2 linked regions of the Rattus norvegicus genome follow. The main gene of each other region encodes a partner of the protein of the gene in region 2 in a complex. Links are inferred from orthologs where the notes say so. Each region holds a gene or a part of one and is shown on either strand. Other genes may lie near its edges. The genes, in order: Ap1s1 and Ap1m1.

Region 1 (4,282 bases), on a different chromosome or scaffold from region 2:
GGGGGGTGGAGCCTGTTTTCTTACACAAACACAGCCCCAGACTCCAGGCTGTACATCGATAACTCCTTCAAAACTCCTGTCCTAGCTGTCAATACTGGGTGCTATCCCTACAAGGAGTGTCGTACCTGGGGGGGAAGTCAAAGATTTTTATGCCTGTGATTTGGGTTCAAATACTGGCTCTACTAGCTTGAGTACAGCCTCAGGCAAACTACTTTACACTGGGCCAGCAAGATGGCTAAATCAGTTAAGGTGCTTGGTTCCAAGCCCGGTGGCCTGAGCTCAATACCTGTGACCCACATTACAGGAGAGAACCAACTCCCACAAGCTGTCTTCTCTCCACATTCATGCTGTGCGAGCACAAACCCACACACATGATAAAATAAACGTAAAAGCATTTTTATCACACTTACTTGTGTGTGTGTATAGGTAAGAGGACGGCTTTGGGGAGCTGGTTGTCTGTGTCTACTGTGTGAGCTCCAGGGATCAAACTCTGACACTCAGGCTTGGCAGAAGGTGCCTTTACCCACTGAGCTGTCTGACTGCCCTTCAGTAGTATCAAGCAGCCTTTGAACCTCGGTTTGCTTATCCACAAGATGGAAATGACACTTTTTTATAGAGGTCTTCTAGGACTTATTGTTATTAAAGATTTGTGGTATGTGTATGATATTTATGTGCACATGTGTATGTGCACCACACGCGTACCTGTCGAATCCCCCAGAAACGGAGTTATAGACGGTTATGAGCCGCCATGGTGGGTGATGGGAGGGTCCTTTGTGAGAGCAACACATACTCTTAAGGACTGAGCCATCTCTCCAGCCCATTTTTTATTATTTCTAACTCTGTGTGAGTGTGCATGTGTCTACATAGCGGGTTAGTGCACATGAGTGCAAGTGCCCACAGAGACCAGAGGTGTCAGATCTGCTGGGTCCAGAGTTACAGAAAATTGTGAGCTGTCTGACATGGGTGCTGGAAACTGAACCTTGGTCTTCTGGAAGAGCAGTAAGTGTGCTTAATTGCTGAACCATCTCTCTCTCCACCCTTCTTCCCTTAAGGAATTCTTAAATGAGTTCATTTATGAGGGTGCCTGGCACACAGTAGGACCTGCAACATGCTAGGCGCTGCTATTTTCCCCTGAACTTCTGTTTCCTAACCTTGTTTTCCATGGGGAAAATGCCTGGCCTCCTGATGAGCTGATGTCAACAGACAGCAGTTCTATGTATGTTCTTCTAGACCCCATGTCTCACAGATGTTGGGTGGCTACTCCATCCTGCAATAAGCCTTCAGATGTTCCTGACTCAATATGGCCTCTTGTGCCAGTCCCATGCTTGTTGACATTCTTCTCTGTAAATTGTACATACATTGGATTGCACGAGGCACAGGGATATTCAGATCTTGCCCTCCATTTTCCTTTGCTGTCCACACATTTAGCTCCAAGTACTGGCTTTCTTTCTTCCCAGTTTTTTAAAGTGTTATTTTATATTATTTTACATATATATGTGGGGCACCCAGGTTCCACCACCCACATGTGGAGGTCAGTTCACTTCTCCCACCAGTGGGTTCCTGAGAATGACCTCAGGTTATCAGCTACCTAGCCATCTCTCTGGCCCTCTTTTCTCTGTTTCTGTTTGGAGACAATGTTTCACGTAGCACAGGCTGACCTCAATTACCAGATAGCCAAGGCTACCCTTGGTTTTCTGATCCCCCTGGTTCTAGCTCCTGAGTGCCAGGTTACAGGTGTGCACTATAAGGCCTGACCTTTCTTCCCAGACATCAGGTGACTGGTTGCTCAGTCCCTCAGACAGGGCCCAGTCACCCAGGAGGGCTCTCCTAGGGAATGTCTGTGGAATAAATAGCAGGCAGAGTCCTCATTGCTTCGCGCATGGACCTAGTTTTTGTTTTTTGTTTTTTTTTTGTTGTTGTTGTTTTTGTTTTCTTTGTTTTTCCCAGTTGCAGAGGTTCCGGATTCCATATCCTGAACTCAATTCCCTGCAAACAGCTCTGAGAACATGGCCGGGGTTGGGATATCTGTGTGTGTGCCACACTTCCAGTTTAGCAGGTTAAGTTAAAAGAAACAAACCCCAGAAACTAGGGAGTGTTGTTGGTGGGGGATAAGGAAGGTGAAGAACTGAGGGAGCCGTGTGCAGCTAAGAAAAGGAGGTGACAACTACAGCAGGAAGACGGAAGGCCTGGGTTCCGGAAAAGAAAATGCACCGGAGAGGGTGGAGAGCTGGGATTGCCAAAGTCAGGGAGTCTTCCCTGACTGCAAACCCTGGAGCCCACTTGAGCTAGAACTCCGAGCGAGTTCTGTCAAGGAACCGAGACAGGAGGTTCACTCCAGAGACCCGGAAACTGTCCCCTCCCACACTGAGCTCTCCATGGGCCCTGCTCCAGTGTGGGCCTCATGGGAAGGGGATTCGGCAACCTGCAACCATCCCGAGTGACCCCGGAGCCCCAACCTCGTGTCTTCCCTGCGGCGGTGATTGGGAGGATCTCTAGGACCGAACCCAGAATCCCGAGCGCTTCTCCAGGCTCCGGACAGTCCCGCCACCATTCAGCCCTAGTCCCCTCTCTCCCAACCAAGACTCCTCCCCGCCCCTGTCCTAGTGCCATTTCCAGCTTCCGAGGTCAGCTCTCCCTAGCAGCTCTGGGAAGTGGATCCTTAGCGGACCACAGAGAAGACAGGGCGACTCCCACAAAGGGCAGCCCCCCTCCGGACCCTCGCAGGTACAGCCCACGCCCCTCGGGTCCCCGTCCCCTCCCTCTCCTCAAAGCCTACCATCCTGCAGCCTCCGGCCCGGTGCGTCCCTCTCCGGCCACCGTAGAAGCCAGCTCCACTCCCAGTCGGATTCTTTTCTTTTCCCTCCCTCTCCGCCTGAAGCCCCGCCCCTAGACCGCGCCGGCTCCAGGCGTGGTCTCACTGCGCAGGCGCCAACGCTGCAGCACACCCCCCCCAATCTCATACGGCGCGCGGGCGGGGCTGGAGGCGGAGAAGCGGAAACCATGGTAACCAGGTCCTTGACTTCAGCTTTGCAAAAGCCCGGTCGTCATGGTAACAAGGCTGCCTTGGTGGGTTGATTGGAGGATGGGAAGGGGAGTGGAGGACAATGAGGGCCTCGAGCTTTGGAGCATTTGTGGGGGGGAAAAAGGCGGGAAAAGGGTGAGAGGTGGATGAAGGATCTTTAGAGTTTACGAAGAAGTTGGGAGGAATGGTGTGGGAAACATCAGTCAAAGAAAGGGTGGTGGTGGGCAGGATGAGGGAAATACAGGACGGGAGGCCAGGAGAATAAAGAGTTCAAGAACAGCTCAGAGTTCCAGAGCAAGATCCTGTCTCCAAAACAAACACGGCAGGAGCACATACGTGATGTCTACACTTGGAAGGCAGAGACAGGAGCAACAGCAGTTCAAGTTCAGCCTCAACTACATAGCATGGTCGAGACCGCCCACGGCCACAAGAGAACCTGTCTGCAACAAAAAAAGTGACACCAAACAGTGCAGATATGATGGCTCGGATAGTAAAGATGTTTCCCCCCAACCCACTAGGTGGAAAGAATGAACTGACTCCTGCAAATTGTCCTCTGATATCTGCACAAGCAAGTGCCCTGGTCCTGCATACATCCCCACATGGTCACAGACAATGCAAAATATACTTCTAAATGTAACCTTAAAGAAACTAAGACAGTACAACACTTAAGTATTCATTAAGAACTTGGAGATGCTGCATTGTCTTAAAGCAAACAAAATATGTAGAAACCAGGGATAAAAAAAAATTGCTGAAAAGGGGGACACTATAAAGAGCAGGAGGAAATTGTAAATTAAGGAGAAAGGGGACGGAATGAGGAGAATCTTAAGGTATTGAAGGGGTGTGGTGTAAACCCATAGCCAGAAGGCCACAGCCAGCCTAGACTACACAGTGAGGCTCTGTCAAGCAAACAAGAAGCCAAAACCAAAATGGAGGGTGGGTTTTGAGAACTGGGTGTGGTGAGGCATACCTCTAATCCCAGCTCTGCAGAGGCTGAGGCAGGAGGAGCAAGAGGTGGTGACCAGCTTTAGGGCTACAGAACAGGAATGCGCCGGTATACACCTATAATGTGGGGATTTGGAAGGTAGAGGCAGACATATTAGGATCAAGAGTTCAAAATTGGGGCTGGGGATTTAGCTCAGTGGTAGAGCGCTTACCTAGGAAGCGCAAGGCCCTGGGTTCGGTCCCCAGCTCCGAAAAAAAAGAACAAAAAAAAAAAAAAAAAAGAGTTCAAAATTACCATCGACTATGTAGGTAGTTCAT
Region 2 (3,811 bases):
ACAGTGACTCTGAGGGTAGAGCCTACCTGGGCGTCCTCATGTCCTGCAGCTCAGAGTCCCATGTCCTGCGTTCACATTCTTATCTGCCCTCAGCTGACCACGAATGGTTTTGTGTTTTTTTTTTGTTTTTTTTTTTTTTTTTTTACTAAGTGTGTGGGGAGGCGAGAGGGATACGGGTATGTGCGAACGTGTGCAGGCGTCCCTGGAGGCCAGAAGTAAACATCAGATCCCCTACAGCTAGAGTTACGAGCACTTGTGAGCTACCCAATGTGGAAGCTGGGAACTGAACCTGGGTCCTCTGAAAGAATAGCAGTGCATGGGGTTGGGGATTTAGCTCAGTGGTAGAGCATTTGCCTAGCAAGCCAAGGCCCTGGGTTCGGTCCCCAGCTCTGGAAAAAAAAGAATAGCAGTGCACTTAAGTAACGAGCCATTTCCCAACTCCTGGGATTTATTTATTTGCTTATTTGGTTTTATATACATACATAGTGTGTATCTGTATATGTATGCATATATGTGTGTGTGTGTGTGTGTGTGTGTATGCACATACACACACATAATTTTTATTTTATGGTTGTTAGTATTTGACTGCATGTGTGAGGGTGTCAGAAGCCCTGGAACTGGAGTCGTGGATAGGCGTGCACTTCTATGTGATTCTGGGGATTCTGCAAGAGCAGCCAGTGTTCTTCATTGCTAAGCCATCTCTCCACCTCCTGTTTGTTTTTTGAGACAGGTTTCTCTGTGTAGCCCTGGCTGTCCTGGAACTTGATCTGTAGACCAGGCTGGCCTCAAACTCAGGGATCCACCAGCCTCTGCCTCCTGGGTGCTGCGATTAAAGGCCTGCACTGTCATTCCCAGCAAACCTAGGATTTTTTAAAAAGACAGGGTCTCACTGTGTTCAGTCTGAAACTTACTATGTAAACTTCCTTACCTCTGCTTCCAAGTGCTAGGATTAGAGGTGTCATACCATGCTTGACAAAGTATTTTTAGCAGGGAAACAGTTTGCTATATAAGTGTGAAGAACTGAGTACAGATTCCTAGGACCCACATAATACCAGGAGGGTATGGCAGCCCGTGATCCCAGGAGCCTGCTGGCTAGCTAGATCATCTGAGGTGGCAGCACAAAGAGAGAGGGGTCGGGGAGAGGGAAAGGTGTTGCATTTGAACTGGGTTTGGTATCTCATGCCTATAACCTAACCACTCTGGAGGCAGAAGGACTGCCGTGAGTTTGAGGCTAGCCTGGGCTACATAGTGAAATCATCACGACAAAGCAAAAGCCTCAGGAATGTTTTTTGTCAGAGCAGGCTGTCCTTAGATACCACAGCACTGTATTGGAGGGCCCTCAGATTCTGGAATCCTGGGGTCCTGGAACAGCCAGATTCTCCATACATCTGTTGCAAGACAAGTCCTTTTGTCTCTGGTGTGGCTCTATTTAAGATTCAGCCACTGGGGTGTTCATTTATGTGGACTGGCTCATACCTGTCATCCCAGCACTCAGGAGGTAGCAGCAGGAGAAACAGGAATTCAAGGCTATCCTTGGCTACATAGTGGATTTGAGATGTGCCGAGGCTCCTTGAACCCACTCCCGGCTTCATTCTCCGTTGAGTGCCCATGGACACACAGCTTCTCTGATTCTCTAGGATGAGCCACTGGGTCATACTTAACTCTGGTGTCACTTTCTGAGGAGCCACCAACTTTGGCTATTTCACAGGATGATGGACAGTGGTTCAGACACCATGCAAGGAGGAAGACCAGGGCAGGGCTATTCCTGTACAGGCTTCAGTGGGATCCCATGAACTTGGACTCCTCTGGGATCAGGTGCTCAGGAGAGCCAAGTGTGCCAGCACAGCAAAGACACTGAGAGGGTCTGCATGGAGTGCTCATAGGGCAAGGCTTGGCCCAGTGTCTGAGGGGATCAGTCCCTCCTTTCTCCACCTTCTGCTGAAGGAAGAGCCTTGTGGTGGGACTTCATAGGGTGAAAATCAGACTAGCCTCAAGTTGTGTCCCTTCACAGATGGTCCCCACCCCTACCTCAGACCCTCAGAGGAAGCCACCCCTTCTTTCCTTCCTAATGCAGGTGCTCATCTGCAGGAACTACCGTGGGGATGTGGACATGTCAGAGGTGGAGCACTTCATGCCCATTCTGATGGAGAAGGAGGAGGAGGGCATGCTGTCACCTATCTTGGCCCATGGTGGCGTTCGTTTCATGTGGATTAAGCACAACAACCTGTACCGTATCCCTATGCTGTGGAGTCAGGCCTTGGGGATGACACGCCTGCCCACCAGCACAGAAGAGCTGGGCAGCCAGAGGACACAGGCCTCACACAGAGGACACAGGGAATGCTAAGTATTCCAGAAGCTGCAGCTGTGGGAGGAGGGGAGAGACACAGGGCAAGAGTGGGAGCCAACTGGGCCTGAAGTTGTCCTCTGGAGATGTGTCATGTTAAATGGGGTAGGTCTTTGGATGGGGTGGACTGGCTATAGGTGGCCTTGTGGTCTAGAGATTTCTGGCTGCTGTGTATGGCCACACTGTCAGGAGCAGGAGTGGACAAATGAGGGGAACAGGGTAGGAGTAGGGGTGGGAAGATCTCATGTGCCCTACATCCTCAGCCCTGCTTCAGCCTCAAATCAAGTGTGATGCCAGGTGGAGACCCACCGTGGCTGCACCCACCACTTTGGGCTTTGAGCAGACCTCTGGAGATCTGGCTGTGCAGGAGCTCTTCAGCTGCCAGTCCCCTCGTCAGTAAATGTGTGCATGCGTGTAACCCCTACAGGCACAGATGCCACCTCTTCCCAGGGACATGGTCTTCCCTTGCAGTTCCTGCCCTGCTCTCCCTCCCAGGCATAGGGTTTTTTCCCTGATGTATATTAGCATTTGTGAACTCCCTTGTAGAGTGGGCCTAAAGTCCAATAGAAAGGTGTTGGTGTCACCCATGATATCTGTGCCAGTAGTGCACATGTGGTGTTTGAGCACACTGGGTCCATAGCTGAGCAGGAGTGTTGATAACTGTTCATCAACAGCCCTCACAGCCCTTTCTGGCACTAGGAAAGCCAACCAGCAGGGTGGGAGTTTCCATTTGGTTCCAACTTAATTTCCCCATGTTCTGCAGTCCAAGTGCAGTGTCTTCAACAATAGGCTCTTACCATCCGGTTCTGCTGTACAACAGCAGCAGCGGCCTGCATGGCTCATGGAGCTTCAGGGTGTCCTGCAGCACCTCCCAGGAGATAGTCTGCCCATGGCACAGGGACTTCACCCAATAACCTGATGACCTCCGCGAGTGTCCTTCTCCATCCATGTAGGGTACCAGTTGGATTTAAACTCTTTACCTGTTTAAACAACATTTTGTTTTTTACTTTTTAAAGGCATCATTTGTAGACATATTTTACCTGCATGTTTGCAGGCCAGAAGAAGGCATTGGATCCCCTGGAACTAGAGTTAAAGCCAGTGATGAGCCACCATGTGGGTGCTGGGGATTGAACTTGGGTCTTCTGGAAGAGCAACCTATGCTCTTTACCACTGAGCCATCTCTGTAGCCCTCCACTTTTCCTTTCAATTATTCAAGCCTCAGCTGGGCTGTAAGGTAGGTAGAAGTGCCATTACACCTGGTCGTCTTCATGTTAGTGAAGTGACTGCTATCACTATTATCTCCATGGATGTCCACACATAACGCCTAGCTGGCTGAGACCTTGGTGGTGGCTTCCCCTGCTGCTCACTTGCATGAAATGCTTGTAGCTGTGCTGTGTTTGCACTGGTGAGAGAGAGTTTCTCATGTCTTTCTGATGTCGTACTAAATCTACAGATTGATTTTATGTA

What was found.
Region 1: the proteins of Ap1m1 (region 2) and Ap1s1 are in contact, whole or in part, in a crystal structure (PDB 1W63), measured with the Mus musculus proteins. The link is inferred for Rattus norvegicus from reciprocal best matches to the Homo sapiens genes AP1M1 and AP1S1. Residues at the interface, in NP_031482.1 of Mus musculus: Lys12, Glu31, Asn186, Asn188, Val189, Leu190, Glu232, Glu234, Asn270, His272, Arg421; in NP_031483.1 of Mus musculus: Lys26, Lys30, Arg33, Glu34, Gln37, Lys43, Glu51, Trp52, Arg53, Asp54.

The regions. Positions count from the first base shown.
Region 1 is NC_086030.1:25,260,609-25,264,890, reverse strand, and holds the start of Ap1s1 (adaptor-related protein complex 1, sigma 1 subunit), read right to left. Parts: upstream 2,856-4,282; 5' UTR 2,780-2,855; coding exon 2,777-2,779; intron 1-2,776. UniProt on the Homo sapiens protein: Subunit of clathrin-associated adaptor protein complex 1 that plays a role in protein sorting in the late-Golgi/trans-Golgi network (TGN) and/or endosomes.
Region 2 is NC_086034.1:17,629,635-17,633,445, reverse strand, and holds part of Ap1m1 (AP-1 complex subunit mu-1), read left to right. Parts: intron 1-2,074; coding exon 2,075-2,231; intron 2,232-3,811. UniProt on the Homo sapiens protein: Subunit of clathrin-associated adaptor protein complex 1 that plays a role in protein sorting in the trans-Golgi network (TGN) and endosomes.